4 linked regions of the Notamacropus eugenii genome follow. The protein of the gene in region 1 interacts with the protein of each later gene in a biochemical or structural test. Links are inferred from orthologs where the notes say so. Each region holds a gene or a part of one and is shown in the gene's direction. Other genes may lie near its edges.

Region 1 (7,658 bases):
CTGCTTGCAGTATTTTTTTCTTTGACCTGGAAGCTCTGGACTTTGTTATAATGTTCTTGAAAGTTTTCATTTTGGGGTTTTCTTTCAGGACATGACTGCTAGACTTAAAAATTTCTGTCTACTTTGTCCTATGGTTCTAAGATGTCTGTGTTGTTTTTATGATTACTTGCATGATCTTTAGACTTTTTCGTCTTTCAGACAAACCAGTGATTCTTTAATTTTCTAGCCTCAATCTGTCTTTCAGGCTAGTTGTTTTTGTTAAGCGGTATCTTTTATTTTCTTCTACTCTTTCAGTCTTTTGATTTTGTTTCTACATTTCTTCTACATCTCATGGTCCATTCTAAGTTTCAGGGTATTTGTAACTTGGTCAACATTTTGTACCTCTTTTGGTACAAGCTGATAATCCTCTGATTCTTTGTTTCATAACCAGTTTCTTTTCCATTTTTTCTCTCTGGTGTTTTCATTTCATTTGTAAAAATATTCTTAATTTTTAAAACATTGTTTAATCTTTCCTAGGAATTCTATTTGAAATTCATGCCCAAAGTTTTTATTTATTTATTTGAGACTTTGCCTGGAGATGTTTAGGAGTCATTCCTTCTGTGCTTTTCTTGAGTGTCCCTATCACCAAACTTTTTATGGTGGGATTTTCTTTTTGTTTGCCCATTCTTTCATCATTCTTTCTGACTTTGGACTTTATGTTAGAGATCTATGAACTTCAAAAGGGACCAGCTTTTGGAGCTGCTTTATTGAGGTACAGTGCTATATTAACTCTAGCAAACTTTCCATGCTCCCAGTCATCTATGGCCAGGGTAAGTCTTATCCTTATTCTCTTGATCTGATCTCTCTGAGTTACTGTATTGGGTTTGGATCTGAGTAACAGGACTGTGGGTTTGCCTCTGGAGTTTCAGTAGACTGCTGTTGGACTCAGTTACTATGAGCCTGGTTCAGTGACACCAGTAGGGTTCCCTTTGGTCTGGGATTCCTGTCCTGGGTCATTCCTTTGAACACTTTATGCTGCAGTTGGAACTTAGATTACGGATTCGTTGTGTTCAGAGCCACACAGCTATTATTTTCTTTTGAACTTGTTCCTTATTCAGTATACAGCCTAGGGCCTGAAACCAGTTCATATCTTGAAATGCTACCCCTGAGCATGGGATCCTTCCTCAGTCAGCCCTGGACCTATGAGTTGGAACTAGATAGTGAGCAATGGAGTTGCCATTTGGAACCTTTTCCCGTACCTTACATGATATAGTGGTGCCCTTATCATGGTTCAACTTTAGGTTCTTAGGTGCTGGAATGCTCCGTGTTGTATCTCATAGTAGCCAGACTCCATCCTCTTTTCTACCTTTCTTTGGTGATCACAGCTGGAAAAATTTTAACTTTTAGAAATTTTATCAGGATTAAAACTGGTATGTTTTTTAGATCTTTTTGGAGTTTTTTTGGGGGGGAGGGGAGAGCTCACTATACTTCTTCCTGTTTCTTTGCCATCTTGGTTCTACCCACTCTATTGCCATTCCATTTCTTTTTCCACAAATCTGCACTTGGAACTTCTATTTTCTCCATATTTATTTATTCCTCAAGTTCTTGTAATGTGCCTTTTTTTAACCACTTTATTGAATCTGTTCTCACAAGACTATATTGGACATATCATTGGTAGACACCCACATTCAGGAAGAGGAAGATAAACCAGTGGAACTTAATAAACCATTAAATGAAAAAGGACTGGTAGTTAGTCACTGTAACCTGGAGAAGGTCATATGAAGAGAATATCCAATAAAGGTGCTTCAGAGAACCACTGATATTTTTTGAATGTGGGAAATATTCAGAACTATTCATTAGGAAAACTATTCGGTAATCATTCAACAAGCCTTTATTAAGTACCGCTTATGTATCAGGCACTGAAGATACAAAGACAAAAAAATGTAATGTTTTCTGCCTTCAAGGAGCTTACATTCTATCAGTGAAGGTGACAGGTACATATATAAGTATGTATATATACATACATATATACACATACACACATATATAAGTATATATACATATATAAGCATATATATTATACATATGAAATAAACATAAGATATTGTGTAGGGAAGCATTAGGATCTTAGGGAGTTAGGAAAGGCTTCCTATACAAGTGAGCATGTGAAATGAAGCACTAAGGAAATTAGAAGCCTTGGAGGTAAGGAAAGAGTTCTTTTCTGCCAGGGGAAACAATGTGCAAAGTCTTGGAGACAGAATGCCAGTCTGAACTGGAGATTCTGTGATGGAAATATAAGGATGGAACAGTAATAGGTTGTGAGAAGAAGGATGGTTAGTCAGGAGAAACTAGTCAGTATGGCCACTTAGGAGGCAATAGTGAAGGCAAGATCTGATAAGGATGTCAATGAGCACCTATTAAAGTACTCACTATGTGCCAAGCACTGTGTCAAACTACAACTGCAGGTGGAACTTAGATTATGGATTTCTCTTATGTTCAGAGGCAATAGTCAGTCAATAAGCATTTATTAAGTATTTATTATGTGTGAGGTGTGGTGCTAAACTCTGGGAACACAAAGAAAGGAAAAAACATTGTTCCTATGAGCATACACTTGAATGGGGGAAACCACCTGCAAAATAACTAAGTACATATAAGATAGAGAAGTGGGAGATGGGACAGGAAAGGCCTCCAGCACATTCTGGTACTTGAGTTGACTCTCCAGCAAGGTAAGGGCAACTAAGAGGGGAGAAGGGAGAGCATTCCAAGTAGAGAGGGCAGCCAGTGCAAAGGCATGAAGTTAGGAGATGGGAGAATCATATGCAAGGAACAGGAAGCAGGCCAGTACAGGTAGATGCTAGAGTAGACAGGAATAAAAAAGAAAAAGTCAATTTGTAAAGAGTTTTAAATGCCAAAGATTTCAGTTTCTCTCCTGTATGACTGACTTTTCCAGGCTTCTACTATCATTATTCAGCTGCCTTCTCACCCTGGAACTTCCTTCCCTTAGCACTTGTGCCCTTCTCACTATGGAATATCCCTCTAGAATTCTGGCCTCCCCCCGTTGGTAAATTCTTTCCAGGTAAGCCTCCATTTAGGGAAGTGCCCCCACCCTCCTCTCTCCATGCTCTGCTTTTGACTCTCTGGATTTTGACACCCTACTCCTTTGTATTTCACCACCATCCCCCCACAGTAGGTAACTTTGACAGAGGCTGCCTCTGACCTTAGGAGGATTATTTTCGGTCAGCTGGTAGGGACAAGTTAGACTGCAAGACACTGAGAAACGAACAGGTGGAAAAAGGGGAAGGCATTTGAGTGTCAGCTCCTCTTGGTAGCAGTCCGGCAGTGAATGGGGAAGAGAAATAGAATAACTTTAAAAGGAAAGTAAGGTCAAGGGAAGGGATATTTACGATAGAGGGCAAGAAATCATTTCTTTTCACTTTTGTCTCAGCACTCCCTACTTCTAGAATAGCACCGTAAAATAAAAAGTACTGACCAGTATGGAAGGACTGTCACACAGCCAGCGAAGGGCAGACAGGATTCAAGCCTGTCAGGCAGCAGTGACAGTCACGGTGCTTCCACCAAGGATGCCAAGACCAACCAGGTGCTTAGGTAAACACTATGCACAGCAAGTAGTAAGAGCCTGAGGATAAACGAGGGGGAAAATAAGGAAAGGATAGCAGATTCAAGGTGCACGTCGGGAGGGCTTAGATTCCACTCCACCCTCCAACACTCCTGGCCTTATATAAAGGTTGTGAAATTCTACAGTGCTTAACCAGAGGGCTCCACCTTCCCCATTTCCCCCTCTAAACACACGAGAATAACGAGTCGGAGATGCCTCCCGGCCGTGGTACCTGCTGCACACCTGCTAGCGCTCAATGGTGGCTGGGTGCGCGGGAGCCAAAGGAGGTCCCTTGCACCCCGCGGGAAGGCAGGCAGATACCTGGCACAACGAAACACCCGGGACAGGCTCTCCCCCACCCCCGGAAGGGCGCCGGATGTAAGGGGGTTGCCAATGGGTCCGCCGATCTCTGGGTCCGGCGGAACCAGGCCCACCCCTCGGGGTAGGGCTTCCAGTCCCCATAATCGGCCCTAGACACCGCCCCTCGGGTCCCCAGAGCTGACGGCCGGAGTGGGGGGCAGGGGGAAGCGCTGGGCCCCATTTGCGGCATCTGGGCTGGAGAGACTTAGGAAAAGCCCAGGGGGTGCCGGAGCGCAGGGCCACTTCCCCCTCCGCAGCAACAACTGCAGCAAACGGGTCAGGGGTCGAGGGGCGCCCGCGCCTCGGTCTCGCGGGATCTCTCCGCAGACCCACGGCGTCGAGACGTCGCGGTATTTGAGTGAGAGGCGGGGGAGGGGAAGAGAGAAAGGGAGGGGAAAGAAGAGGAGGCCAGGGCAGGGGAGGCTCCCGGAGGGGAGGGGGGCGGACCGGTTCGACTCCTTCCCCCTCGTCAGTTCGACGGAGCCCCGCCCCCCGAGCTCCGCCCCGCCCCGCCCCCTCCACCGCCCCGCCCCCCCTTCGCCTCGCTTTCCGCACCCCTCCTCCGCCACCTCCCTTTCCTAACCATCTCCTCTCCTTCCCGGCCCCGGCACGCGCGCCTGCCGCGCCCGGCCGCCACCGGCCGTTCCTCGCCCGCTCCTTGCTTTCCTGCTTTGGGCCGGAACCGGAAGTTTGGGGGGCGGGGCGCCAAAGGGGAGGCCGGGGGACCGAAAAAACTCGGCCGAGCCCGGAGCCGAAGCCCTGGACACGGCCGCCGCCGCTGCCACCGCGACCAATCGCTACGACCGCCGCCGCCGCCGCCGCCGCCGCCGGCGTCGCGTCCAAAGGGTTCCCGGACTTGGGGCGTCCGGGTTGAAGGTCGGTGCGGACATCGGACTGGAGTCCACGATCGCCGGCCCGTCCGGGCGGCCGCCGCCGCCGCCTCCTCCCGCCTCTCCTCCTCCGCCTCCGCCTCCTCCTCCTCCCCCTCCTCCTCCTCCCGCCTCTCCGCCTCCTCCCCTCCGCTGGCGTTTTGTTCAGCGAGCTATGAGAGGGGAGACGAGTTGACAGTGATTTTGACAGTGATTTCAGCCTGCTGTGGTCGGGGGTGCCTTTTTGATTCTGATTTCGAATTACTCCGCACGTTTTGGGGGCGTGCGTGCGCTGCGGGGCTGGGGGTTGTTTTTCTGTGTCTGGTGTCGCCTTTTGTTGCGGCTGCTGCTGGTGTTGCCCACCGTGGAGCGCCTGGATCGGGGGAGCTCCGGCTATGCCCTATGACGGCTGACTGGACCCCGGGGGGTTGGCTCCGAGGAAGACCCAGGGCGCCGGAGAGCTCGCCAGAACTTGCCTCGGATCCCCCGGTGCCTCGGGAAAATGGGAGCCGCCGCGAAGTTGGCGTTCGCCGTCTTTCTCATCTCTTGTTCCTCAGGTAGGTCCGACTCGGGCGAGGGTGCTGGCGGGGCTGGGGACTGCCGAGCTTCTCCCCCTGCCCGGTTCGGTGGTGACCCGCCAGCCTCCAGAATTGTTTTCATCGTTCCGAGTTCGCGTGGTTTGCTGACATGAGTGAATGCTGTTTCTGTGGCCGTAGCGTCGGTGACAGCTTCTGTAGGGTTTCCATTAAGCCGCAAATACCGCAGGTGACATTTTATGTAAATGTTTGAAACCTGGGAGGGCGGATGCCAGAATCGGTGGCTTCATTGCGAGTGCAAGTCTCGGAAGGAGTGTTTTTCGATGAGTGCATCTTGCACGAACGTTGTGGTAGCCCTTAGCCAACTGCTGCTTCATTTTAGTGGCATAAGGAACATTGATCTGTAATCCATAACCTATCCTTTCAACTCAGTCTCCCATCTTCAACTTCAGTGGCCAGCGGTGTTAAAAACATAGTTGCTGTGCTGAGAGTAATTAACTGGTGCTGTATGCAGAGGATGCATTTAAGCGGTGTGTTATGGTAATGTGCTGGGGTTTGGAGCACCATTTGTGAGTGGAGATCTTGCTCACCGACCAGAAGCTTCTTGTTTTAAAACTCTTTGCTTAGAGGTATTGTTTTCTGAGTAGGAAAATTGCCTATGTAAAATAACTCATAGTCAAAAAATTGAATTGTTTAGTGAGAAGGTTTTAGGACTGATATCAGTGGTTGGAAGGATGATCTAGCTATTTTTCTATTTGAAATTTTGATTTTGAGAGAATGTTTTATGGTTGCAACCAGTGGTTGGAAAAGATGTCTAGTCTTTTATATTCGAAAATCTGTGAACGTTGTACTATAGTCTAAAGGTGTGCATTCGCATACACTATATATTGAATAGATTAAATATACTTTAAAATATACTAGATTTGTTTACCGTAACATCCAGCACTTAATTGCGTAGGTTGTAAAGTGAAAAGACTATTACATATCTGTCATTTGACAGTTGGATTTTTGTGGCCATATCTTAATCTTACTTGCCATAGGGGGTGGTAGTCATTTCTTTGTGTATCTCTCTCTCTCTCTCTCTCTCTCTCTCTCTCTCTCTCTCTCTCTCCACACACACAAACACACAGAAACACACACACACACACACACCCTTTGAATTCTATAGGATTTTGCTGAATGGTACATTTCCTTGTGGTTAATAAATGGATAAAGTCTAGTCTTGTGTCTGTAGTGGTATTGATCAGTTCCGGGTGGGCTGAATGTGCTGTGAAATGGCGATCATTGCCAGAGATTAACCAAAAGAATCATGTCTGTTTAAATGGAAGAAGGAACGTGCTTAAGGCAGGCTGACAGCTCTTTTTTGTGCATGATTTGGGAGGGAAGACGAACAATGGCATGGCTAAAAAGAATGAAGGCCTCGCTAACATTAAATCTTTTGCTCTTGCTTGCAGAGTGCTTTAATGTTGTGATTTTTATTTTCCCCAGTACTCCTATTCCACCCTCATATCCTCTGGTTGGTGTATTCCTCTTGTTCTCCTTGAGGAACCTTCTCTTGAACCCCCTTTTCAGCTCTCCTACCTTCAAGGAGGAGGAGCATGACTGCCTCTAACTGCCCAAGGAATTGTGGACCTTACTCCATTCCAAACCCACCTGAGTCACACTAATTGGTGAACAAGGTTGTTCTTGAGCAGACATAATGCACTCCTTCTGGAATAAGGAGGCTTGCTGTATAGCTCTTGCAGCTTTCTCCCCTTAGCTTGGGAGCAAGAGAAGAGAAATTGAGCAACGGTTTCCCTGTAAGATCATTTTCACTAGGCCAGCAGGTAAATAGCCATAATTCTGCTGCTGTAGAATGTTTCATTTGCAATAAAACTCATAGGAAAAAAGAATATAAGTACTGCATAGCTTAAAAAGAAATTCTAAAGATCTAGTCTTTTAGTAACATTTGAGCAGTTTTATAACTTAAAATATTAGATTTCTAAAGGACTTATTTTATCAGCTAGATGTGCTCTGAGTATATTATTGTTGCCCCTGCTGTTGATGTTTATCTTTGATATCTTTGTTATTGAAATATTTATAATTATTTTTCTTTTTAAAAACTTTTTAGTTTTTCAGATTCATCTTTCTTGGCTAGTGCATGTTCTATGAGTATTTTTTTTTTTAAATAATGAGCAAAAGAGAAGAAAACTTATTCTACATTAGATTTTCTGTTAGATGTTTTCTTGAGTCTCACAAACTTCCTTATTTAGTTTTTCTAAATATTTATATGTTTATACACAGATATAATGTGTTCAG
Region 2 (7,986 bases), on another chromosome or scaffold:
TTATGAGACCATTTAATTAAAAGAAAATTAACCATGATACAAAATTAGGTAATCTGATTTCTATTTAGAGGAAGGATTAGGGAATAAGTTGAGAGGGGAAAGCAAATAGGTGCAATTCTCTGAAATTAGAAAAAAGTATCCCACTCTTCCCAAGTTGTCTATAAACAATCAAAGGAACATGGAAACAATACCTGATTGATCAGGGCAGGGCATATGGATTGCTCCAGATGTATAATTGTGAGAAAACTCCTTGCATCAGTCTTTGGATTAGACTGGATATCTGGTCAGCATGACCAAGGTCCTTAGTTAAGAGTCTCCAAGCAGCACATAGAGGTTGTCCAACGCAAGGTTAGGTTCAAAGAATGCAACAAAGCCCTCTCCAAATTCCCATGATGAATAAAGTTTTCTCACAAGACAGAAACTAGATTAGACCCACAATTGAATAGAAAGGGAATTGAGCTAGCTCCAGAACTGAGTCACAAGATGGAGTAAGTGTGGTTCACTCAATTCCCACTACCACTTGGTGTTTTAATTCCCTCAGTTCCCCCACATCATTTCCCTGTTAGGAGGGAACATTTTAATTCCTCTGGAATTGGTTGATCAGTGCAATCATTGATAAGAGTTCCTAAGTCCTTCAAAATTGTTTTTACAATGTTGTTAATTAAAATGTTAATCATTCTCCTGGTTCTGGCTCACTTAAATCTTGATGGCAACGTTCAAGTGATGCCTTCTCCCTTCACCTCTGCTTTGTTTTGTGTAAGCTTCAACTCTGTCACTTCACTTATGTGAGGTAAACCCCCTCTACCACCTTCCATTCCTTTCCTCTCTTCCCTTTCATAGCTGCTTTTAAGATTGTCAAGACAAAACAAAAATCATTCCTAGATACTTCATCTTTTTTGACTCCCTCTGTAACCCCTGTTATATATAACTCTATAACATCATGGTTCTAAGGGGATGCCTATATTATCCTCTCCCCCTCTTCATTAGAATGTAAACACTTCCTCTTTATGAAGTCTTTTCCAGCTGCTTCTTTTTTATATTTCTCTTTGATCTTGTGTTTGCAGTTCAGAATTTCTACTAAGCTTTTCATTAAAAATGCTTGGAAGTGTCCTATAAAATAGTAGTGTAACAGAAAAAAACAGCAGTAGTGTAATGCCATAGGCTTTTTAATAAAGACCCATTTTTCTTCCCCTGTAGGGTTACACTCAGTTTTTGCTAAGTAAATTATTCTTGATTGCAAGCCTATATCTTTTGCCTTTTGGAATATTAGATTCCTTGTTCTACAGTTCTTTATAGAGTAGATGGTAAACCTTGTATGATCCTGATTGAGGTTTCTTAGTACTTTAACTCTTTCTGACAACATGCCTGTTTTTTTTTTTCTTCTTTAATCTAGAAGCTCTGGATTTTGGCTAAAACTCTGGGGAGTTTTCATTTTGTGTTTTGTTTTTTTTTAAGAGGTGATTAGTAGATTCTATTTTTACTTTGCCCTCTGATTCTAAGACAGTTGGACAGTTTTCTTTCATGAGTTCTTGGAATATGATTTACAATATTTCTGTTTCTGTCTCTGCGTCTCTCTCCTTTAACCCTCCCTCTCTTTCTTGCTCATGGTTTTCAGATAGTCCAGTGATTCTTAAATTGAATCTCTGTGATCTGCTTTCTAAGTCAGTTACTTTAGCTTTCTTTTCTTTTTCAATATTTCAACTCTGTTTTAATATTTTTTGTTGCATTTCAATTAGTACAGATGCACAAAGACAGGAAATGGAATGTTGTGTATAGAAAAAAGACCAGTTTGACTAGATTACAGAGTGTGGGAGTACTGTCTAGTGAAGCTGAAAAGATCAGCTGGAGCCAAGTTGCAAAGGGCTTTCAAAGTTAAACATAACAGTTTATATTTTATCTTGGAGACAATATAGAGCCATTAGAGTTTACTGAGCAGGGGATATGATCAGATCAGAATTTGAAGAAAACCACTTTGACAGCAGTATGGAGGATGGAGAGACTTAAGGCAGGCAGACCCATTAGGAGTGTGTTGTAATAGTCTGTAGGCTTGAGCTAAGGTGTTCAGCTGTAGGAGTAGAGAGAAGAGGTCAGATATGAGAGACAGAAAGGTAGAAAGAACAAGATTTGGTAACTGGTTAGAATGTAAGGTGAAAGAGAGTGAGGAATCAAGGATAATGCCAAGGTTACAAACCTGGGAGACTGGAAGAATCCTGGTGCTTTCAAGAGAAGAGGGAAATTTGGGGTAGGGTTGGGGAGAAAGAGAATGAATTCTGATTTGGACACGTTGAATTTGGAATAAGAGTGGTAACTACTTTGGGGGGTTTTATAGCCCAGGTCTGAGATCAGTTTTGGACATGCTGAGTTTGAGATGCATAGCAGATAATTGATAGTTAAGGATTATGTCTCTCAGGAGAGATTAGGGCTTATGTTAGATTACATTAGATTATGTATATACATGTATGTATATATGTGTGTATATATGTATGTGTATATGTATGTATATGTAATATATGTATATGTATACATATACACATATATGTATGTCATTTTGTGATGGTAAGCAAAGTAGGTTTACAAAACACTTTAATAAAATACCTCACTTAAGTCTTAAAACAATCTTGTAAAGTATTTGCTACTATTATCACCACTTAATAAGAGAAAACTGAGCCTGGGAGAGGTTGTTATTGCCCAGGGTCACTACGGTGTTAAGTAGCAGAGCCAGGATTTGAAGCAGACATCCAAACCACCACTAGGTTAGAAATCAGAACACTATCCATTACGATAGGCTTCCTCTACCAGGCTAAAGGGCCAGTGTTCTGACAATCTGGCTTTTTACTAAGTTTTAAGAATCTTTGATTTCACTCCTCTGGGTAATCCCTCCAGTCATACTGAATTCAACCATAGGCTCCTTAGCAGATGGTTACATGGGCTGCTTTGGCCAAACAATTAATCAGCTGGTGGTCAATTTTCTAGGGATAAGCCTCTCTAAATTTATCTAAGCTGGTCCTAAGACAATTGACACAGGCTGTCACAGGCCCATATTTAAAGACTTTCCAGCTGAGTGTCCTGCTGGAATAGCTTTCTAGCATAATATGTTAGTCAACAAACATTATTTAAAAAAAAAAAAAAAGATACTGAATGCTGGGAAATTACCATAACCAAATTTGACTCCAAAGAGGAGATATGAGAATGTACTTTCCTCCCTCCAAGTTTTTTTTTTTTTTCCCAGGTGGAGGAACTATGGGTGTCAAAAACACTACTTATAATATCGACCGTTTCATATGTTGGTTAGTTTTCCTGAACTATTTTTTCCTTTTTTTTTTAGTTTTCAAATTTGAGTTCCACAAGCTTTTGAGTTTTAAATTTTCTTCCTCTCCCCCCCTCCCCAACACTGCATATACATTCATATTAAACATATCTTCACATTAGTCATGATGTAAAGAATTATAACCAATGGAATGGACCACAATTTCCAATTCTTTTTCACCACAAAAAGTGCTGCTATCAATATTTTTGTACAACCTTGCCATTTTTTTGATCTCTTTGGGATACAGCCCTAGAAGTAGTATTGCTGGGTCAAAGGGTAAGCATATTTTTATAGCCCTTTGGGCATAGTTCCATGGCTCCAAATTACTCTCCAAAATAGTTGGATCAGTTTATAACTCCACCAACAATGCATTAGTGTTCCAATTTCCCACATCTTCTCCAACATTTATAATTTTCCTGTTTTGTCATGTTAGCCAATCTGATAGGTGTGATGTGGTACCTAAGAGGTGTTTTGATTTGCATTTCTCCGATCAATAGTGATTCTTGTTTTGTTTTTTTTTTGTCATTAAGGATGGCTCGGGTAACAAGAGTGATGTAAAATTAAAAGATATCAACAAACAATAGCTTATAGGATTAAACATTTAATTGAAACAAATTCAGAAAACAAGCACTAAATGTTTACTATGTGAACAGCTAACATTTCTATTGAGCTTTAAGGTTTTACCTACGCTGGGGCCTGGAGTCAGGAAGATCAGAGTTTAAATATGGTCTCAGACACTAAACAGGTGTGTGACCCTGAGCGAGTCACCTAACTTCGCTTCAGTTTCCTCAACTGTAAAATGGGTATAATGGTAGCACCTACTTTCTAGTGTGGCCGTGAAGATCAAGGGATAGAATATTTGTAAAGCATCTGACACTATATTCTTATTCCCTTTTCCCTAACAAACATTTCAATCAATAAGCACTGGGGATACAAAAAAAAAAAAAAAAGCCAAAGACAGCCTCTGCCACCAAGGAGTTTACAGTCTAATGGATCATCTGGACCTCATACAACCCTGTTAAGGCATCCTTTTTTTTCTTAACATATAAGGAAACCAAGGCCCTTCACTGCAGTATTGAGTGATGTGGGAGCCTAGGGTACCCTGCCCACTGGACCAGGAATCAAGAAGACCTAAGTTCACATTTGGTCCCAGACACTAAGTAAGTGACCCTGCACCAGTAACTTAACTTTTCTTGCCTCAGTTTCCTCATATGTAAAATGGGGCTAATAAGGGTTGTTGTGAGGCTCAAATGAGATAATAACTGTAAAGTGCTTAGTACACCCTGGCACAGAGTGAGAAATAGATGAATGTTAGCTGTCCTTATTGGCATTATTAAACAACTAACAGGCTCAACCTTGGTTTCCCCGCCTATAAAATTCCCCAGTCTTATTGGGGAATCAATCCCCCAATGTGTTATTGAGGATAAAGTGAGCCACAGATGTACAGGGTCCCGTTAGCAACTGGTGCTTCTTCTCTCACTTAACAAAGAAAGCCCCTCCCAACAAAGCCACCCACAGTGCAAAGCCTAGGGAGGTGGGGGTGGGGAGGAGGAGGACAAGCCCGGGAACTACATTCCCCAGAATTCCCGGTGTTTCCCATCCGCCCCTTCCTGTCCGGGGAGGCTGATGAAACCGAAAGTGCTGCGGCTGCAGCTGGGTTTTTTTTCACCTTCAGTCCCGTGAACACGACGGGCGGGTGAATCCGGTCGGGGGAAGGAAAACCCTGGGCCCTGCGTAAAGTATGAACGGAAGAGTGGACTATCTGGTCACGGAAGAAGAGATTAATCTTTTCCGAGGACCCTCAGGTACTTGGTGGGAGCTGGGGATGGGATGGGGGAGGGGGGAAAGGGGCCGCCTGAGGTTTCCCGCCACGCCACGAGAAGTCTCCCTCAGCCCCACGCCGACCCCCAGCCTCCTCTTGGTCGGGCCGCGGGCCTCTTATCAGTATAACCCCTTCCCGCTCGTGGAGGGGGATCTGCTGGTAGCCTGGCGTCCACCCTTGGCTGAGGAAGGAGCCCCTGCCCTGGCCGCAGCCTGGCACAGCCGAGCTGCCCGTGCGTCACGGCGCCTCCGGGGAGAGGGAGGATTAAAGGTGGGAGGCGTACTGCCCTTGGCGATTCACCCGCGGCGGCCGCCCCGCCCCCCCCGCCCCCCTCCGGCCCCCTCATCGCCCCCCCGCGGCCCCCCCCATCGCCTTGGCCCTCAACTTCCAGAGCTTTTTATATTTATTTTTAAAAATCTCCGTTACCGAGGTTCTCTGGAATCTAGCATGAAAATTCATTTGCCCCCTTGTATAAATTCTTTTTTTTTTTTTTAAAGAGTCCCACTACTAATTAAGAGTGTGTAGAGCGACTGAGTCACTCAGTCGATCCCCCGCGCTTTTAATCAGGTTTGCCGTGGACCCAGGCGCTTTGAAAGCGCCCCTAGGGCAGCCCGAGCTGGTTAGGGACGAGGAAGCCGGCCGCCCAAGGTCAGCTGCTCGCGGGGCGGCGGGCCCTGCCCCTCCCCCCCCCCCCCCCGTTCCTCCCCTCTCCCCACCCCCGACCCCTCCCCTCCCCCCCCCCCCCGCAGCCCGACCACCCGCCTGCGCACGCAGCCTCGCCCTGAGTGCCGGCGTGTGGCGGCCGAGCAGTCACTGGAGCCCCCCCTAGGCCCGAGTGAGCCCGCGGTGCCGGCGGCTCTTCGGAGGAGTCTCCCAGGGGCAGGGGCGTAGAGGTGGCGCGGCGGTGCCCGGTGCCCAGTGCCTGGCCCCACACGGCTGGGCTCTTCATGTTTGCATCTGCACACGGTAGACTTGGATGTTTTTAATTAGAAAGATGGTTATGCCTGATTTTCTTAGATCTTTAGAAACCAGCAAGCTCTCCAGAAAGGTCCCGCCCCTATCTCATGAACTTCCTATTGAGGTTCAGAGTTGTATGTTCTCCTTATCCTGAAGGGATTGGTTCTCTAGCATAGTGGTCTCTTGATTTTTTTTTTTTTGAATTACACACCCCTTTCCGAAAAAAAAAAATTAAGATAGGAGTACTTTAGGACAGTGGTCTAGACTGTTTGGATTGCACAACCCTTTCAGGAAAAAAATTAAGGTATTGGTTCTCTAGGACAGTGGTCTCTTAGACTTTTTGAATTGCACACTGCTATCCATAGGAAAAAAAATCAAGCATACATTCCCAATATGTGTATATTTATTTACAAATTATATGCATGTACTGCTGTAATAAGTAATAAATAATAATATGTAATAATACAATATAATATAATATATTTTATTATATATTATGTTAATTACATTATTATATATTATAATAAGTAATAATAATAATTATGCTATCAAACTTGCATGAAAATGTAAATTTTGAAAGGGCAAGATAAAGATGAAGTAATATATGATCCCAAAGTCATTTGGGAGCCACTGGAATTTATTGAGTTGAGGGAAGTTATTGGGTAGTTGTGTGTAAGATTCAGTAAGGCGAGACCAAGTAGAAAACTATTTCAGTAATTCTGTCTAGAGGTGAAGAGTGCTTGAACTCAGGTAGTGGCTTCATTAAGAGAAATGAAGAGGTAGAAATGACAAGACTTGTTAATAAGATACGTGGAGTGAGGGAGAGTGAAGATTGGAACATAACAGGAAGATAACTTGGTGTTATCTTCTCCAGCAGTGCCTGCCCAAGCCATGAAATGATTTTAGGGACAGGGTATGGGTATGCTGGTGGGGTGGGGTGGTGGTGAGAACTTTTCAGTGGCGTTTAAGTACTTGCTGCTATAGGTACTAGGTAGTGGTTAGATGACAACTCCCCAGAAGGACCCATGCTGGGCTCAGAAGCAGGAAGATTGGATCTCATTGGGATCAGCCCTCTGATTGGTTGATCCCATACTTCTTGGAATCAGGCCACAGCCCCCACTTGGGAGACCATTACTCTGGAAGGATGGGAATTGATGTCTGGAATGAATTTACAGAATTTTCAGCAATCAGTGCCCATAGAGTGGCTAAGCAGTGGCTTCAGAAGACCAAAGGCATAGGCAAGGGAACAGGACTATTAAGAAAGGAAAAGACAGAAGGAGTGGGTGGGATTTTGATTTTTAAGGGAGAAAATTAAAGGGACCTGGGTTGGGTAATGATAATAGGGCTAGCAACATTTGCCCCAGAGGCTTTGCTGAAAGTTCATAGTTAATTTTACAGATAGCTGCAGATTACCAGCGGTGACCTGGAGTCTGTTCCAGCTTGATTTTGAGGCAGATGTCACAAACTGACTAATATTAATTTTTGAGCTGGAAAGGGACCTTAGATATCATCTTATCCAATTTGTTTGTTTTAGAGATAAGAAAGTTGAAGTCCAGGAAAATGTGACTAGCTCAAGGTCACACGGCAAGTTATTGGCATAGATGGGACAAAAAAAATCAGGGCTCCTGACTTCTGTTTGTTTGTGCTCTCTTCCTGAATCAGTTCCCAATGGATGCAGAGGGGAAGTGAGTAATCTGGGATGTGTGTGTGTGTGCATGTGTGTGTATGCATGTGTGTGTATGTGCACGTGCACGGATGAAGTGGGGCAGATTAATTCATAGATGAGAGTAGACAATGTATGGAAAACTTTTCCTTCTGTATTATAGCAAGTCACTTGCCCATTAGTGAATAATTCCTAGCTGTTTACTTGTAGGGATTTAATCCATTTAGTCACTTATTA
Region 3 (7,558 bases), on another chromosome or scaffold:
GGTTTTTAAGTTCCAGTCTTCCCACTTATGGGCTTCTGAGTTCTTGAACATGTTGATTTTCCTCTCTAGACTTGTTTCAAGAATTGCAACCACAGGACCCTCATACTTTCCATAGGTGCAGCCACAGGAACATTCTGAAAGGTGGTACTACTGGGTGTAAGATAAATGAGATTTTTAGGTCTACTTAATCCAAAGTTTAGAGATTCTAAATCAGGTTGTTCTCCTTTGGAAAGATTAAAGCCTTTGAAATGGGGATGATGTAGAGTAGAACAGGATCCCATATGAACCATTATAATTCTAATCACAATTATTAAGTATGGGTCAGAATTTCATCAGCCTTTAGAGATCCAGGATGAGCTAAAGCTTAATTAAGTAAATATTTACCATCCCAGGAAATATTTTAACCATCAAGGTGGACTTGGAGAATCAGGACAGTTTTAGGTTCAAATCTTGGGTCTCAAACATGCATGATTTTGGGTATGCCATTTTATCTGAATTTGTTTTCCCATATGTAAAGAGGGGATAATATTTACACTACTTTGTAGGGGTGAAGAGAGGAATGCCTTTTGCAAACCTTAAAGCACTTCATAAATATTATTATGCAGCCTTTATATTATGTCTCTTGACATAATCATGATATACTTGGGAACCTAGCCTTGGGTTAATGGTATGCATCAGCTGCTTCCTGGACTTGAAAGCTTCTCTTTAAAAAAAGATACAGATGGTGGAATACTACTGTGCTATTGGAAATAATGAGCAGGATGGTTTCAGAAAAACCTTCGAAGCTCTTAACTCATGCAAAGTGAAGTAAGCAGAACCAGAAGATTTACACAGTAACAGCAATACTATAAGGAGGATCAACAGTGAAAGACAACTTATACTGATCAAGATAATGATCAAACAGCAAAGGACCCATGATGAAAAGCACTATCCACCCCCAGAGAGACAATGTACTCTGGATGTAGATTGAAGCACAATTCTTTTTACTATTTTAATTTTTTTTAAATTTTGTTTGTGTTTCCTTTTTGCAACATGGCTCATATGAAAATGTGTATTCATCCTTCATTGTAGAAGAAGACCATGCCATCAGAGAAATAATGACATGACTTGCACTTGACTTTTTTTTTTTTGAGTGAGGGAGGGCTGTGCAGGTCACCAGCCTCATTTCTGCTCCAGAGCCATATGAATCCAGTGACCAGTTATTCATCAGGATGACTGGAGATGACCCAGGATGAAGCAATTGGGGGTTAAGTGACTTGCCCAAGGTCACACAGCTAGTGAGTGTCAAGCCTCTAAGGTGAGATTTGACTCCTGCACTAGAGAACCATCTAGCTGCCCCTCATATGGAAATATGTTTTGAATAACCTATAATCACGTATAATCAAAATTAAATTGCTTGCTTTCTCAAGGAGGGGGAAGGATTAGGAGGAAGAGTGAGAATTTGGAACTTAAAATTAAAAAAACTGTTAAATCTTTTTTACATGTAACTGGAAGACATTTAATGAAATAAAAATAAATTTAAAAAGAGATACCAGTTCTAGTTCCTGGTATGCTATAATAATTCACATTAATGTAACAGCTTTCAAAATGTTTTTCTTAATATCCCTTATAAAGCAAGTAGTGCAAATGTTACTATCTCCATTTTATAGAAGCAGAAGCTGAAATTCAGGACTTGTCCATGGTCACATGGATAGTAAATGCCAGAGAAACATGTAAAACCTGGATCTCTGACTTGCAAGGTCGATGTTCCCTATGTGACCTTAAATGATAAAGTATATTGTGGGGGGAAAGGCTGGATTTGCAATGAGGGGACCAGGGATTTTTCTGGTCCTGAAAATGTATTATCTGAAATTGAGCAAATCCTCTCAGGTCTCGGTTTCCCCATCTGTATAATGAGGAAGTTGGATAAGTTGACATCTAAGATGCCATTTAGTAGTAAAGCTTTTTTTTTTAAGTTGTAACCCTTAAAAAAAAGAAACACTCCCCAGGGACCAGAGATTTACCAAGTTTTTCTTTAAACCCCTCTAAAATCAGTTCTAGATCAGTGAAATAATCTGTTAATCCTGGTAGTTTTCCAGAAATTATAACGGCCCCCACTCTAATGTTTTGGACACATAGAAGATAAATTTAATCGAGGGTGTTTTTATATCGTAAACATTCACTTTGGTAAATAAGCTGTTGGGGACAATTTATGTGTACTTTCTGGATAAAAGTTTAAAGCCATCTATTCGATAATACAGTGTATAGGACTTTTTATTCATACTCTTTAATAAATAATTCCCTGTCATATGCAACGTTTGGTTAGACAAGTGACTTCAGGGGCCCGGAAATTAGAGGATAGAAAGGAGGCAGCTTCGTTGAAGGCTGGGGATAAAATGTGCCCCATATATCCTTTTTCTGTTCCTTTTCAGTAGTGAAACAAGATCATCTCTTAGTCTGTTAACATATCAAAAGCAAGAGGCAAACAATGCAAGAAGCTACACAATCCACTGCTACGGTGGAGGCTTTCTCGCTTTTTCCAGATGCAATGACACTGAATGCTTTAGTATCTCCCTTAATAATAAATGCAGATGTTTTGTGTGACTGCATACAGCTGAGACATAATCCAGCAGCTGCAGCACAGAAAGCAGCTGTTTGCAGTGCGCCAAATCCTCCTTCTCACCAAGGCACAGGGTAACAACAAAAGCAGTTTTGGAGCCGCCTTCCCCCATCCCGGCTTCGGTCTGGTCTGGCGGGCGGTCGGAGCCGGAGGCCCGGAGGCGCCTCCGCTGAACTGCTCTCGGGGCAGCCGAGCAGCAAAGCGGGGCCCGCTCCGGAAAGGACCCAGAGCTGCTGCTTCCGTGCAGCCCGAGTGTGGCATTCACGGCAGGCAGTCAGGACTGCTCCAGCTGAAAGGAATACTGCCGGCTGGAAGGAAGCCTTCCCTGCCCCTTCACACCTTGCAGATGCACGCCTCCACCACTCGAGGCTGGAGGGCCGGCGGGGCGCGTGGTCGAGACCCGGGGCCTGCAGCTTGCGGCCCAGGAGAAGACCCGGGGAAAATACAAGCACTTGGCTCGGCTCCCAGAGGAGCCGGTCGGGCGCCCCCGGGGCCCTTTCACTACTTGGCTCTTTGGATGCTCGTTGCAACTGGGGGCCTGGAGGAGCCCTCCGAGGGGAGCTGGGTTTATGCAAAAAAAAAGTTATCCTTGCGAGGATCGCCGCGAGGCTCCGGAGGGCCCAGCGGAGGCGCACGCTGGTCTGTTGCCATTTCGCGGCTCTCCCTCAGCACACTTCTCCCTCGAACCGGCCGCGGGCGGCCCCTCCCTCACCCCCCCTCCTTCCCCGAGGGAGGCTTCTTTCATTCCTTTCCTCTCCCCAGAGGCCGAGATGAGCCACTGGGTCGTCACGCCGGCCTCCGGCCGCTCCGTTGTGGCTGGCAGTTGGGGTGAGAGTCCGCTGGAGGCCGCTGGCACCCGCCCCCTTCCCCTCCCCCTCCGCTGCTCGAGTTCGCTGTGCGCAGTGTCTTCTCGTTCGTCCTGGTTGGGGGGCGCTGTTGCCGCCAGGTCCCCGCCAGCCTCAGCCGGAGAGGCCCCGCTCCCCTCCTGCTTCAGCCCCAGCCCGGTCCCTCCCCCCTCCTCCGCCGACTTCCCCTCCCCTCCGGTCGGTGTCTAGTGAATGTGGCGGGGCTGCCGCGGCAGCTTCGGCTCCGGTGTTAAACTCGGCGTCGTCGCCCGAGTCGCTCCCTCCCACCCCGCCCGCGGTCGCGGAGCCTCCTCCTCCGCCACAGCAGTCCGGGGCTCCGGGAGTGGGGCACGGGCGGGAAACCGCAAGCTCTAGGCGAGGGCAGGGGGGTGGAGAGGAGGAGGAGACGGAGAACCCGAGCCGGGAGGACTGACGGCCGGGGCCGGGGGCCGGCCCTCGTGCCTGCCCCCTCCCTCTTCTCCCTGGACTCGGGACCCCGGGGGCGGCCGCGGCAGCGCGGGCGAAGGGCGCGGCGGGCGCGATCGAGACAATAACCCGGCGGCAGCGGCGGCTGCAGGAGGTGGCCTAGCGAGGGCCGCGGCGGCGGCGGCAGCAGGAGGAAGGGGCGCAGTGCAGCCTCGCTCGCCGGGCCTGGGAGGGGTCTGGAGGGGGCGCGTCGTCGGCTCCCGCCCGCCTGGGAGCCCAGCGAGCGCACGGGTAGCTTTGCAGGATTGCCTTTGGATCGTCCATCTCTGCAGCCGGAGCTCGGACGGTCCTCGGCGGCAGCGGGGCTGACAGACAGACACCCCTCCCCCCTGCCGCCTGCCTCCTGCTCCCCACTTAGGTCGAGCCTGTTTTCCGGGTTCCCCTGAGTGGACCTGGATTCAGCTTCTCCGCCCGGGCAGGAAGTGAGTTTCACGCAGTAATTCCGGGCGGTGTCACGAGAGAAAACTTTTTTTTTGCCTTCCCCTTCTCCTCGGGGGATCCTGGTTGGGGAGGCTGGGAAACTCGTGTCAAAACTTGAGACCAGGAAACCGGCCTGCAACGCCCCGCTTGTGCCCCCAGAGCCGAAACCAGCCTCCTCTTCCTCTTGAGAGAGGCCGCCCGGCATCCCCATTCACCTCCTCCTTCCCCGAGAGAAAAGACCCCGCGGAGGATGGAGGGTTAGCGGCGTCTTGGGGAGCCAGGGACCCCCACCATGTCTCCGCTGGGAGCCTGAAGAAGAGGCCGAGAACTCTGGAGAGGTAAATGGGGGCGAACGTGGGGCGGGGAGCAGGGGCTGCATCTCTCTGTCCTTGTTCCCATCGGAAGCCCGGCAGCCCTGGATCGGTGAGATATCGGGGCTGCCTCTGCAGTCCACCCTCCGGTCTGGCATTATCGGGGGGAAAAGGGGAAGTGGGGAACCCAAAGTTGTTTTTTTAGGCTCTTGAGGACATAGAGTTCCTTTGTTCTCCCCTAGGTCCCGAAGTAGGTAAGCACTTGGCCGCTCCCAAAATGCATTCTCCTAAAATTTTTGTTTTAAGTGAACCGAATCTAGCAACTTTGGATTTGCCAGTCCGTCGGGAAGACGTCGCTGTGGGGTGGTGTGCCGTGGACTGCCCGCCACGTTTGTTTACACTGCTAACTAGTAGAGGGCGTTGAAGTGAAGTTCTCGGGGAGGTGAAGGCTGCTGGCTGTGTAACGCAGTGACAAACCCCAAAACTCCTTGGTTCTTGTTGGGGGAGCGATGGGGTGGAAGGCGATTTCAGGAAGATTGAGCCTGTGTTTTCCTGTCCTCCAGAAAGGGTGTTTATTTTGGCCCTTTGCAGAACCGTATGATAAAGTCTTTATTTCACAAATTTATTAAAAAGACAATTACCTTAATCTGATTTTTCCTGTTAGTGCCCAGTTTAGAAAGGAACGGAAATAAGGGATATGATTCCTTGTTCTGAGTAAAGAGGAACTTGTAAGTTTTGAAAAACACCTGCAACTATGTTGATAAGACTTTGATACTATTTATCTGCATGACAGCCACCGTACACATTTATACACAACTTTCTGGTATTTGTTCTTGACTTTTTGAGGATTATCGTTTTGACACAAATACTTATTATATAATGGATTTCTATTTAGTAAGTGTTGTGATCAAATTTAATTTGGAGGCTGAACTTAAAAAGCATGGCAAAAATTAATTGTAAACTGATTTAAAGAGTCACAAAATCTGAAGGGATATCAGAGGCCACCTAGTTCAGTCTAAGTGTTAAAAACAATTAGTAGACTTCACAGATTCTATCAGTTGGTTCTTGTATTTCAGCATATCTGAATTTGTTAGTGTGAAAGGATAGTTAAACTTTTGTCTGTAGTACTTAGGGTGCTAACGAACAAAAAGTTGTCTTTTTGAGTGCAAGGAAAATTCTGGAGGTAATTTCCCATTATAATATCAGTTGATGTTTAGTTTATCAGATCTCAAATAATTAGTGGCAGTTGAAAAAGATGGTAGCTTCCTTAGGGAAAGAAGAAAGTCCAAGTTTAAACTATCTCTATCAAATTATTACTTCTTCCTAACAGCTTTGATCTGTATTAAATGCAAAAAGACAGATAGTAAAAACTTAACTACTACATGTTAAGTTGGCCTTTGTCAGAGTCTTTTTTCTCCAGGTAGTTATTTTCTTGCTATTTAGTTCTGCAAGTAAGTACTAAATCAAACCAGCTTGCTCAAGGAATATAAAATGCACAACTGTATTATTAGCTAGCTGAAGAGGTTATTCCTGGACATCTGAAAAAAACTAAGCAAAATGAATGACATTGAACTTGAGGTTCCTTATATGGCACTTCCTTGGCATAAGAGCAACAAAGCCTAAATAGAGCAGCAGGCCTCTTACAAAGAAAGAGTACATTTCAAAGTTTTGTTTCTCTGTCTTAGTGACTTACAGAAGACAATCGTTACATCAAGCAATAAGTCTGTGAACCAGTTTTCGTTTTTTAATGTAATTTTTGTTTATCTCCTCTCAGGGGAGCCACAAATAAAGACTCAAGATTTTGAGTCAAGAAAATTTTAAACTAGATGTTATTAGTGTTATTTGAATAAATGTCGCTTATCTCTTTCCCCTTCCCCTCCCCCCCTTTCTGTTAGGAGACTCTGTGTACCATTGCAGAACCTCCATTATTTTGCGTTTATAGTCTGTAGAATTTCCTGGACCACTGACGATTTTTTCCAAGTCACTTAGCCAAGTGTGTGTCCAAGGCTTGCCTTGAATTACAGGTCTTACCTTGAGACTAGCTCCTTAGTCATGTTGCCTATTTTCCTTTATTTCTTTAATAAAAACATAATTCCCTCAATAAGTATAGATCTTAGAACTCCATAGGTCCATTAAGCTTGTTGGATACTAGTTTGATCAATTTATGAGACTGTTTTCTTCTGACAGCCTAGAAATAGAGAGTAGACACAATCCCAATTCACTTAACTTTCCTAGACTTTTTTCCATACTTGTAAAAATGAAGGAGCCTGACTGGATCATTTCTAAGTCTCCTTTCATCTTTACATTTTAGCGTTTTGTGATTCTTGCTTGTTTTGTGTGAATGTATTTATAAAAATTACATTTCTTCTAAATACTGTTATCAGTTGTCTGCAGTGGGTCAAATGTGTGTGTATATAAATAAATACTTAGATCTCTTTTGCAGTATTTGATCAGTGACATACATCCCTGAAAATTTTGCTTATAGTGCATGAAATACAGTTGGTGATTTTTATTTGGTTTGTTGAAAATAGAAAATTTAAATGTTTTCTTCCACTTGCTAGTTATGTGATTTGAGTGTTAAGTAATAAAGAACAGTTTGCAGTTTTAGATGATGTCATCTTAACATCTGAGTGCATGAAAAAGCTTATGCCAAAGTGTGGAAGCCAAATTTTGATTTTGTGGTTTTAGTTGTCTTGGGTTTAGTAATGAAGGTGGAAGCAGCATACTGTGGTGGAATAAGTGCTGTATTTGGAGTAGAAGGACTTAGGCTCTGCCACTTTACAACTTGTATGATTGTTGGCAAATTTTCCAAACTCTCTGGTCCTCAGTTTCCTCATCTTTAAAATGAGGAGGGGTTTGGACTAGAAGACTGTTAAGGTCCTCTGCAGCTCTGAATC
Region 4 (7,651 bases), on another chromosome or scaffold:
ATCTATTGCTGGCTCCCCTCTAGGACCCAAAGTTCTCCACTTCCTTCTCTCCTGTTCTGTACATCATTCAGTCTCTCCAATGAGTTGGAAAAACATTGTACTTCCCATTGGTTCCCTTGCTGATAAGGTGCTAGATGTGTGTAGCACTGGTTTGATTCTGGTCTCACTCTCTTAGGACCAGGACTATTACATTTTACATTCCCTGTGGGTTCTCCAGCACCTAGATGTAGGTTGGGGTGTCTCTCTTTTTTGCCACTGGATCAGTTCCTAACCAACTCTTTTATCCCTTTTTAGATGCCTGTTGAAAAAGCACCCCAAGTCCATTTAACCACTTAAAATTGATTAGCTTTTATGAAGGGAAATTTACTTCAAAAACAGCAAGAACAAACATACAAATATTTGCCCCCTAACATCTTGGGGCATATCCCATCCCACTTACCACTTCACTGTGTGGGGAAGAAAGGCAGATTCGGCTCACAATTTAACTCAGTTCCTATATAGCATTTGTCCCACTTACTTTAAGCCCAAAGCCCTGCTGAGCTGACTGCAACATGTGCTCTGGATTCCTGGGCTTTTAGGACTCTATAGCTCAAACTCCAGTATTTGAAATATCCCTGTACCTAGAACAGAGAAGAACATAAGGAAAGGCCAAAATTCTAAGCCCATTTCTCACTTCCTCATGGCCTTGATGGGGTGGGTGGAAGTGACCCTCAATCCTTCCTCCATTAGCACATGAGAAGTACTCCAGCCTCAGACAAGAATGAGGAATGGATGAAAAGCCCTGATGGTTCTTAGTCAAGCAGTTTTAAAGACACAGATAGTTCCAGCTATGCAATCAATGAGGGTGGAGAAGAGAAAATCTGCTCCAAACCATATGGTAAGCCAAGACAGGCTATCCCTGCATCTTCCAGACTGAAGCAGATTCCCAATGCTTTACAAATGAATGACAGAATCTTAGGTGGTCTAGGCATGGGCCAGATCCCCATTATACATGAATGATATATCAATTGGATAGTTTATAAGTAGATAATTGATAGTTGCTTATATGGTTGAGAATGGCAGATATCATATGTAAATAACAACGTAACAGGTAGGTCAATCAAATTCAATGCAATGCAATCCAAGTTGATTAGCACTTATTAGATATTTCCTATGTGCAAGATGCTATGGCAGCATCTAACTAGGATGCAAAGACATAGTAGAAGGAGTTCAAACTCTAATGGTGCACTTTGTAGGTAAGCTGATAATTAAAAGTGTTTTCTTTTTTATTTAGTTTCTGTGTATAGACATATCCTATTATGTGCGAATACATGAAAAATTAGTAGTGGATGAGAAGTCAAGATGAATCATAAATTTAAAACTAGAGATTTAAAATCATAGATTTAAAAAAGATTTTTAAAAATAGAGATAATCTGTTTCAGCCTTTTATTTTATTAAATTATTGTCAACTAGAAAATAATATGAAAATTTCCATATACAAAGATCAGAAAATGATGATTTTATTTGAAACTATGAATCCAGTATGAATAGCTTCTTTATTTTAATTATTATACTTAATGTGGTAGTATCGACATTTTCCTGCTTGTCTGTGTTCTCTTCTGAACTTCCTACTACCCTTTTCTGTTTATTGTAAAATGTTTTATTAATGGCATCACTAACACTACAATCCCCCCCTCCATGTAACTCTATAACGCCTGCCCTGCCAAAAAAAAATAAGGCTCCCTCTTCTATCAAAAGCACTGTCAAACAAAACAAATTTGTGTTGTAATGGCTATGTCCAAAAATTTATGTATTATTCTATAGCTATTGTCTGACCTCTCTCTATCAAGAGGCAGGAGGTACGCTCCATTGTAAATTTATAGAAGTCATGGTTGGTCAATCAATTAATCAGAATTCTTATTTCTTTCAAAGTCAACCATTTCATTTAATATATGAGGAAAGTGAGATGCACAGTAGTTAAGTAATTTGTCTGTTCTTACACAGGTAGAAAAAATGGCATAACATTGATTTAACCTGAAGTCCTTTGACTTAAAATTCAGCCATCTTTTCACTGTACCCATTGGAGGAGGTGTAACAGCAGGGACCTTCTCAGTAATCTTTTCAAAATGAAGAGTATAGTTGATTTTATATTATTCTCACTGAGGAAACCACCCTAATTTTGATGAGGGACACATATTAAAAATTATATATGTATTTATATAGATATATAATTTTTAAAAGCTACTCCCTTAAACATACTCACATACAAATGAGATGTTGTCTCTACAGAGCATGCCACTATTTCTGAAATTATGGCCCTTCTCTGGCAAAATCTTGCAGTTAACCACTTCTCCTGAAAATCTTGAATCCTTGAATATGTCAGTCGAAAATACAAGGAGTTACTAGAGAGCACCAAGGCGACCAACATGAATTATCGATGTTTTGGAAACTGCTTCCAAGTTCCCAAAACATATCCCTAATGTCAGTTTCCTGGAGTATAATTAAAACAGTTCCTGTGAAGATTTCTTAATGCTATTGAGAAATGAGGGATTTGTCACATACTTCTGATTCTCTTTAGGCTGGAATGAAAACAAAGCATCTTGGCCACTGTAAGACCAGACATATTTGAAGCAAAAGGGAAGATCCTTATTTAGAAGTAATGAAGCCATTTCCTGGAAACAAAAGGGGAATTTCATCTAAAAGTCCTACAGTCATCGCATGGAAGGTAATAGGGCCTACAGAGTAGCTGAAGTCATTATTTTATCTCTTTGTTGACTTTTGATGAACATTTTGCTTTCCCTCTGTTTACTTTGGCTTGACTTTTGTCTACTTTTTGTTAGTATAAAAGCATGCAGCCTCCACCTGTGACGATAGTTGTTATACAGAAGGAATAATGAATATCTTTGACTGGTTACCTTTTCCCTACATATTGACAAGTTAAAAAATTCCTATGTGGTCACTACAGTGACCATCTTTGACCTCACCAAGTAGTAAAAGTCAAGGCCCACAAAAGGTAGCATACTTTTCATCTGACTAAATCAACTTGAGGTTAGAATCAAGGTTAGATGTATACATTGCTACAAACAAGTTTCAAGTAGCTTTCTTTAGGATCTTTCTGATTCTTGCTTGAATGAATGAATAAGTTGAATTATAGAATGTCTGAAGATTTTTTGAAATCATGTCTAAATATGTAAGTGAATTAATGCAATATGAATTACCAAGTCATAGTATTTCAAGCAGGAAGAAGCAAACATCCTAAGTTTACAGAAAAAGAAACTGAGGACTAGAGAGACTCATTTGGTTAAGTTCATCTAGTTGGTTAATGGAAGAGTTAAGCCTCTAACGCAGGCCTCCTGATTCCTATGACCAGTGCCCTTTCTACCAGAGTATGCTATTTCCCTTCCTGATCACATGCCATGCCTTTTCTTCTTGGGCCTCACCTTTACCTCTAGTCTTCTACTACCTCCCAGTATCCTCTTCTTGGATTATCATTTCTATCTTCTCCTCAGTGGTAATGTGGACTCTGCCCCTAGGTCTTTCAGCTCTAAGAGGTGAACATTTGCTGTATCTTGCCAGGGACCCAGAATTCCATGCCAGTTCCTGGTCAGGTCCATGCCCTATAGACCATACTCCCTTCCCTTTGCAAGTTTCCTCTAAATGCTATTTTACCCTCAATAGAATGTAAACTTCTTTGGGACACAGGGTGTCCCAAAAATCTTAGCGTATTTTTAAGCTTTATTAAAGCCTAATAAAAGCAGCTAGGTGGTACAGTGAACATAGGGTTGGACCTGGCATCAGGAAGACTTATCTTCCTGAGTTCAAATCTGGCCTCAGACATCTACTAGCAGTGTGACCTTGGCCAAGTATCTTAACACCATTTGCCTCAGTTTCCTCATCTGTCAAATGAGTTAGAGTTTTGCAAACCACTCTAGTATCTCTACCCTCCCTCCCCCCCCAAAAAATCAAAACAACAACAACCCAAATAGGGTCATGAAGAATTAGAAATGACTGAAAAATGACTGAACAAAACAGGAAAAGTCAAGTAAAGCTTAAAACTGCATTAAGACTTTTGGGACACCTTGTATTTTAATCCCTGTGCCTAGCATAGCTTTTGCTATATAGTAAGTATTTATAAATACTTAAAATTATTACAACTAACAATGAGACACTTTACCTAATGACATATCAGAAACACAAAAGCCCCAAGTTATGCCACCTACTTTGAACTTTTTCCTCAGCAAGAACCTCATGTATCATTCCTAAATTGTTAATTAGCTGGGTGTGAATTAAAGAGGTTTCCTTGAACTCTGTTGCACAACATCACTTAATCCCAAAGTTCCTCTTACCTTAGTGCACAGGATGGCTACCTGGGGAATGGAAAGTCTTCTTTAAAATATTTAAGTTACTACTACAGAGTTAGGCATCAGAGAGACTGGGGCCTATTCATCTTTTAAAATACTTTGATTTGGTTTGCCAGGGGATATCTGATTGTCAATTATGTTTGAAGGAAGTGGGTGTGACCAAGGAGAGTAATATTTCTTCCTCTGAGGACAGTAAAAACCATTGGTACACATGCTTCCTTTTAATTTGCAGTGACGAGAGAGCCGGTGATTCAGAATATGCACATTGCAAGAGCAACATTCATGCCGGTTTCTTTTGTAAGTCACAAAGTAATATTTCTTCCCTGTGGCTGAGGATCGGGGCTTGATCTGTGTTTTTTGGAAGAGTTGAAACACGTGAAGATCATACTGAGGCCTTGTCAAACTGACAATGTTCCTTTGCTGAGTGAGTACATCCCCCCTTCCCATCATTTCCAAGGCAAGTAAGTAAGAAGGTTGGAAGTTATGGTAGTATTCCATTATGGATTAGATAAACTGACAAAAACAGTCTTGTCATGAATTGAAATGTTTTGTTTTGTACATTTTGGTAATATCTTGAAAGCAGAAAGTGAGAGTAAAACTGTTAGCTCTGTGTTAATTTGTTAATGTTGTTATTAGATTTGAAAGACGTTTGGGTATTTGATTGGGAAGTAAGGCCACTTATTAGCAAACTTGAGGGAAAAGAACCTAAGTGACAAGGTAGAAATAAGGTAATACAGGAACTGAAGATATTTGCCTGATTAAAAACAGTTGCTGAGCTCTACTAGAAAGGTACACATTGTTATCTTTTCTTTTTTATGGACCATAAAAAGCAGTGGTAGATGAAAACACGTTTGTGAGAACTAGGAGAAATTTATCTAATGATATGTTATTGGTTTTGTATGTGTGTATCTGTATACTTATTGAGATAACCTGTTTCCACATGTGGACAAAATATACAGTATGATCAGTTAAAAATAAAAACAAACAAATAAAAGCTAACTCGTTTTCTACATTGTGTTGGCTTCGTGATAGCAAACGGTTAATTTGATTGAAACTTTAATGTTACTTTAACAAAAATTAACCAATTTTCTGAGTATTTACATCTGTTTAGAGACTATTTCTTCAAACAATTCTGAATCAGAGATGGTTTTATCCATATGTAGTGCGTGCACCCATTTTCCTGGTATGGTGTCAAAGGCTACCTACTTTCTATTCTGGAATCAGAGGACTTAGGTTTAAATTTTACCTCTTTGTGTCTTTGTGACCTTAGGCAAAACTGAGTGTGTGTATAAAATGAGGAAGCTGGATTATCTGCCCTCTGAAATCCTTTCCAGAATTATATTTAGGATTCTACGACCCTAGAAGTAGAGTTTGATGAGAGAGGGAAGAAAAGAACATAGGAATATTGGAAACCTGAGAATGGGGGGGGGGGGGGGGAGGGAGAGAAGGGCATAAAAGAAGCTGAAAGAAGCCAAAGAAAACCCTTTCCTATTTTACATTTGGCTGGACAAGGTTTAGCCTGGTATTTAGTCTAGTATTTAAAATATCCATCGTACCTGATAACCGTATTTGATTAACAGTTGAAATTATTTTTGATAGATCTTTTAACACTGATTATGGATTTCTCTCATCTTGATCCTCCTGTAGAACACAGGCAAATTATTTTTTCCAGGAAATTTGCAAGGGATCTCACCAAAAGTTGGGGAGATGGAAGGCACAGGGGGATGGGGGAAGGGAATGAATAATTTTTGTTGATACCTTCCAGGGTAAGTGTGAGTTTGCTAAGCAAAACAATGGTGGAGCTCTAGCACAAATATTAGTTAAGCCATTTCCTAATCAAAGAACAACTCATGAAAGAAGGGAATTTTTTTTTTTTTCTTGCGTGAGAAATTTGTTATTCTAGGACAAAGGCATTCTTTGGCAAATATTTTTAGGAAGCCAGAACATTTGAACTTATTACTTTCGATAGGTCTCTTTTCAGTATGTATCCCTGTGGTCTGAGCTTAGCTGTAAAGGCTCTTCCTGGGATTTGAGACTCCTGTGATTCTAAAAATTGAGTTTATGAGTCATTGAAATGTTCCGTATCTCCACTTATTCTGTATTTTGTTGCCAGACTCAGGAGAAAATAGTTAAAACAGAATAACAGTCACCTGATGTAGGGAATCCTAGTTTCATAGGTCATTATCTAGCATACTTCTCATATAGCACAAGAATTCTCTTTTCAGCATCCATGATAGATGACTATCCAACCTCTCCTTAAATACCTCCAGTCATGTGGAGATTATAAAACAGCCTGCTATCTATTGCTACTGATACTATGTAGTAATACATGTTAGAATATTTTTATACTATGCCAAAATCTATCTCTCTGTACTTTATTAGTCCTAGTGCCATCCTCTGGATTTACACAGTTTAAATGCTGCAACTCTTCTACATCTGTGCATGCCTTTATTCAACAAATATTAAGTTGTTACTATGTGTAACATAGTTTTCCATACTCTGAAGCACTGGTAAAGTAAACCATATTTTAAAGAAAAATTTTTAGGTGAAGGAGAAAAGAAGATAGGTCAATGGTAAGAGTGACACATGATCATTAGATAGCCATAGGGCTCCACTGATAGGCTTGTGATGTCAAGGGAAAACAAAGAAGGCCCTCCATACCATTAGATAGACTTCTTGTAGTAAACTTACAAGAAGAAGCGGACAAAGGTCATATAAGAGAGTTGTCGTGCTACATCCATATAAGAGACTATTGTAATCACAGATCTGGGTACATGAAATATACTTTGGAAAGTGTTACAATAGAGAAAAATATAAATAAGGCAATCCTTTTCCTCAAGAGGATTATACATTCTAGGCTTTTAAATATTTGAAGAAAGCTTTCTATTAATTCTCCGTTCTCCAGGCTAAATATTCCCTGTTTCTTCAACTATTTTTCATGGTTTCACCCTCAAACATTTATTTTATAATCTCAACTTTGCCCCCTTTCACCTGTCCATTGTCACGTTATATTTTACTTAATTGTATATATATAGCATTTCTCCTCAGAAGAATGTAATCTCCTTATTTCATTTTTATATTTGTATCTATATCATTTAGCATAATGAATTGAACACAGCAAGTAATTGATACGTCATTTGTTATGGAATATGTATTCTCAGATCCTTCTGTTTGGGAATTCTTAAGACTTCTTTTATGAGAGGGAATGTGTATGCTAGGCCTTCACTCTTCCTATGTCTATGCCATCTTGGACAAAGAGGTCTGCCTCCTGCAAAAGTGTCAGGTATACCACTCTTACTAAACTTGGGTTC

Evidence for each region.
Region 2: the proteins of ACVR2A (region 1) and SYNJ2BP form a complex in vitro, tested with the Homo sapiens proteins (2 studies listed by BioGRID and IntAct, with this or other methods). The link is inferred for Notamacropus eugenii from reciprocal best matches to the Homo sapiens genes ACVR2A and SYNJ2BP.
Region 3: the proteins of ACVR2A (region 1) and ERBIN interact in a test that uses a peptide from one of them, tested with the Homo sapiens proteins (2 studies listed by BioGRID and IntAct). The link is inferred for Notamacropus eugenii from reciprocal best matches to the Homo sapiens genes ACVR2A and ERBIN.
Region 4: the proteins of ACVR2A (region 1) and BMP2 form a complex in vitro, tested with the Homo sapiens proteins (3 studies listed by BioGRID and IntAct, with this or other methods). The link is inferred for Notamacropus eugenii from reciprocal best matches to the Homo sapiens genes ACVR2A and BMP2.

Annotation. Positions count from the first base shown.
Region 1 is NC_092876.1:283,052,129-283,059,786, reverse strand, and holds the start of ACVR2A (activin receptor type-2A), read left to right. Parts: upstream 1-4,647; 5' UTR 4,648-5,326; coding exon 5,327-5,381; intron 5,382-7,167; exon of another isoform or gene 7,168-7,186; intron 7,187-7,658. UniProt on the Homo sapiens protein: On ligand binding, forms a receptor complex consisting of two type II and two type I transmembrane serine/threonine kinases.
Region 2 is NC_092872.1:297,624,777-297,632,762, reverse strand, and holds the start of SYNJ2BP (synaptojanin-2-binding protein), read left to right. Parts: upstream 1-4,983; 5' UTR 4,984-5,048; coding exon 5,049-5,112; intron 5,113-7,986. UniProt on the Homo sapiens protein: Regulates endocytosis of activin type 2 receptor kinases through the Ral/RALBP1-dependent pathway and may be involved in suppression of activin-induced signal transduction.
Region 3 is NC_092875.1:320,993,702-321,001,259, forward strand, and holds the start of ERBIN (erbin), read left to right. Parts: upstream 1-4,549; 5' UTR 4,550-4,688; intron 4,689-7,558. UniProt on the Homo sapiens protein: Acts as an adapter for the receptor ERBB2, in epithelia. By binding the unphosphorylated 'Tyr-1248' of receptor ERBB2, it may contribute to stabilize this unphosphorylated state.
Region 4 is NC_092872.1:578,456,815-578,464,465, forward strand, and holds the start of BMP2 (bone morphogenetic protein 2), read left to right. Parts: upstream 1-4,636; 5' UTR 4,637-4,764; intron 4,765-7,651. UniProt on the Homo sapiens protein: Growth factor of the TGF-beta superfamily that plays essential roles in many developmental processes, including cardiogenesis, neurogenesis, and osteogenesis. Induces cartilage and bone formation.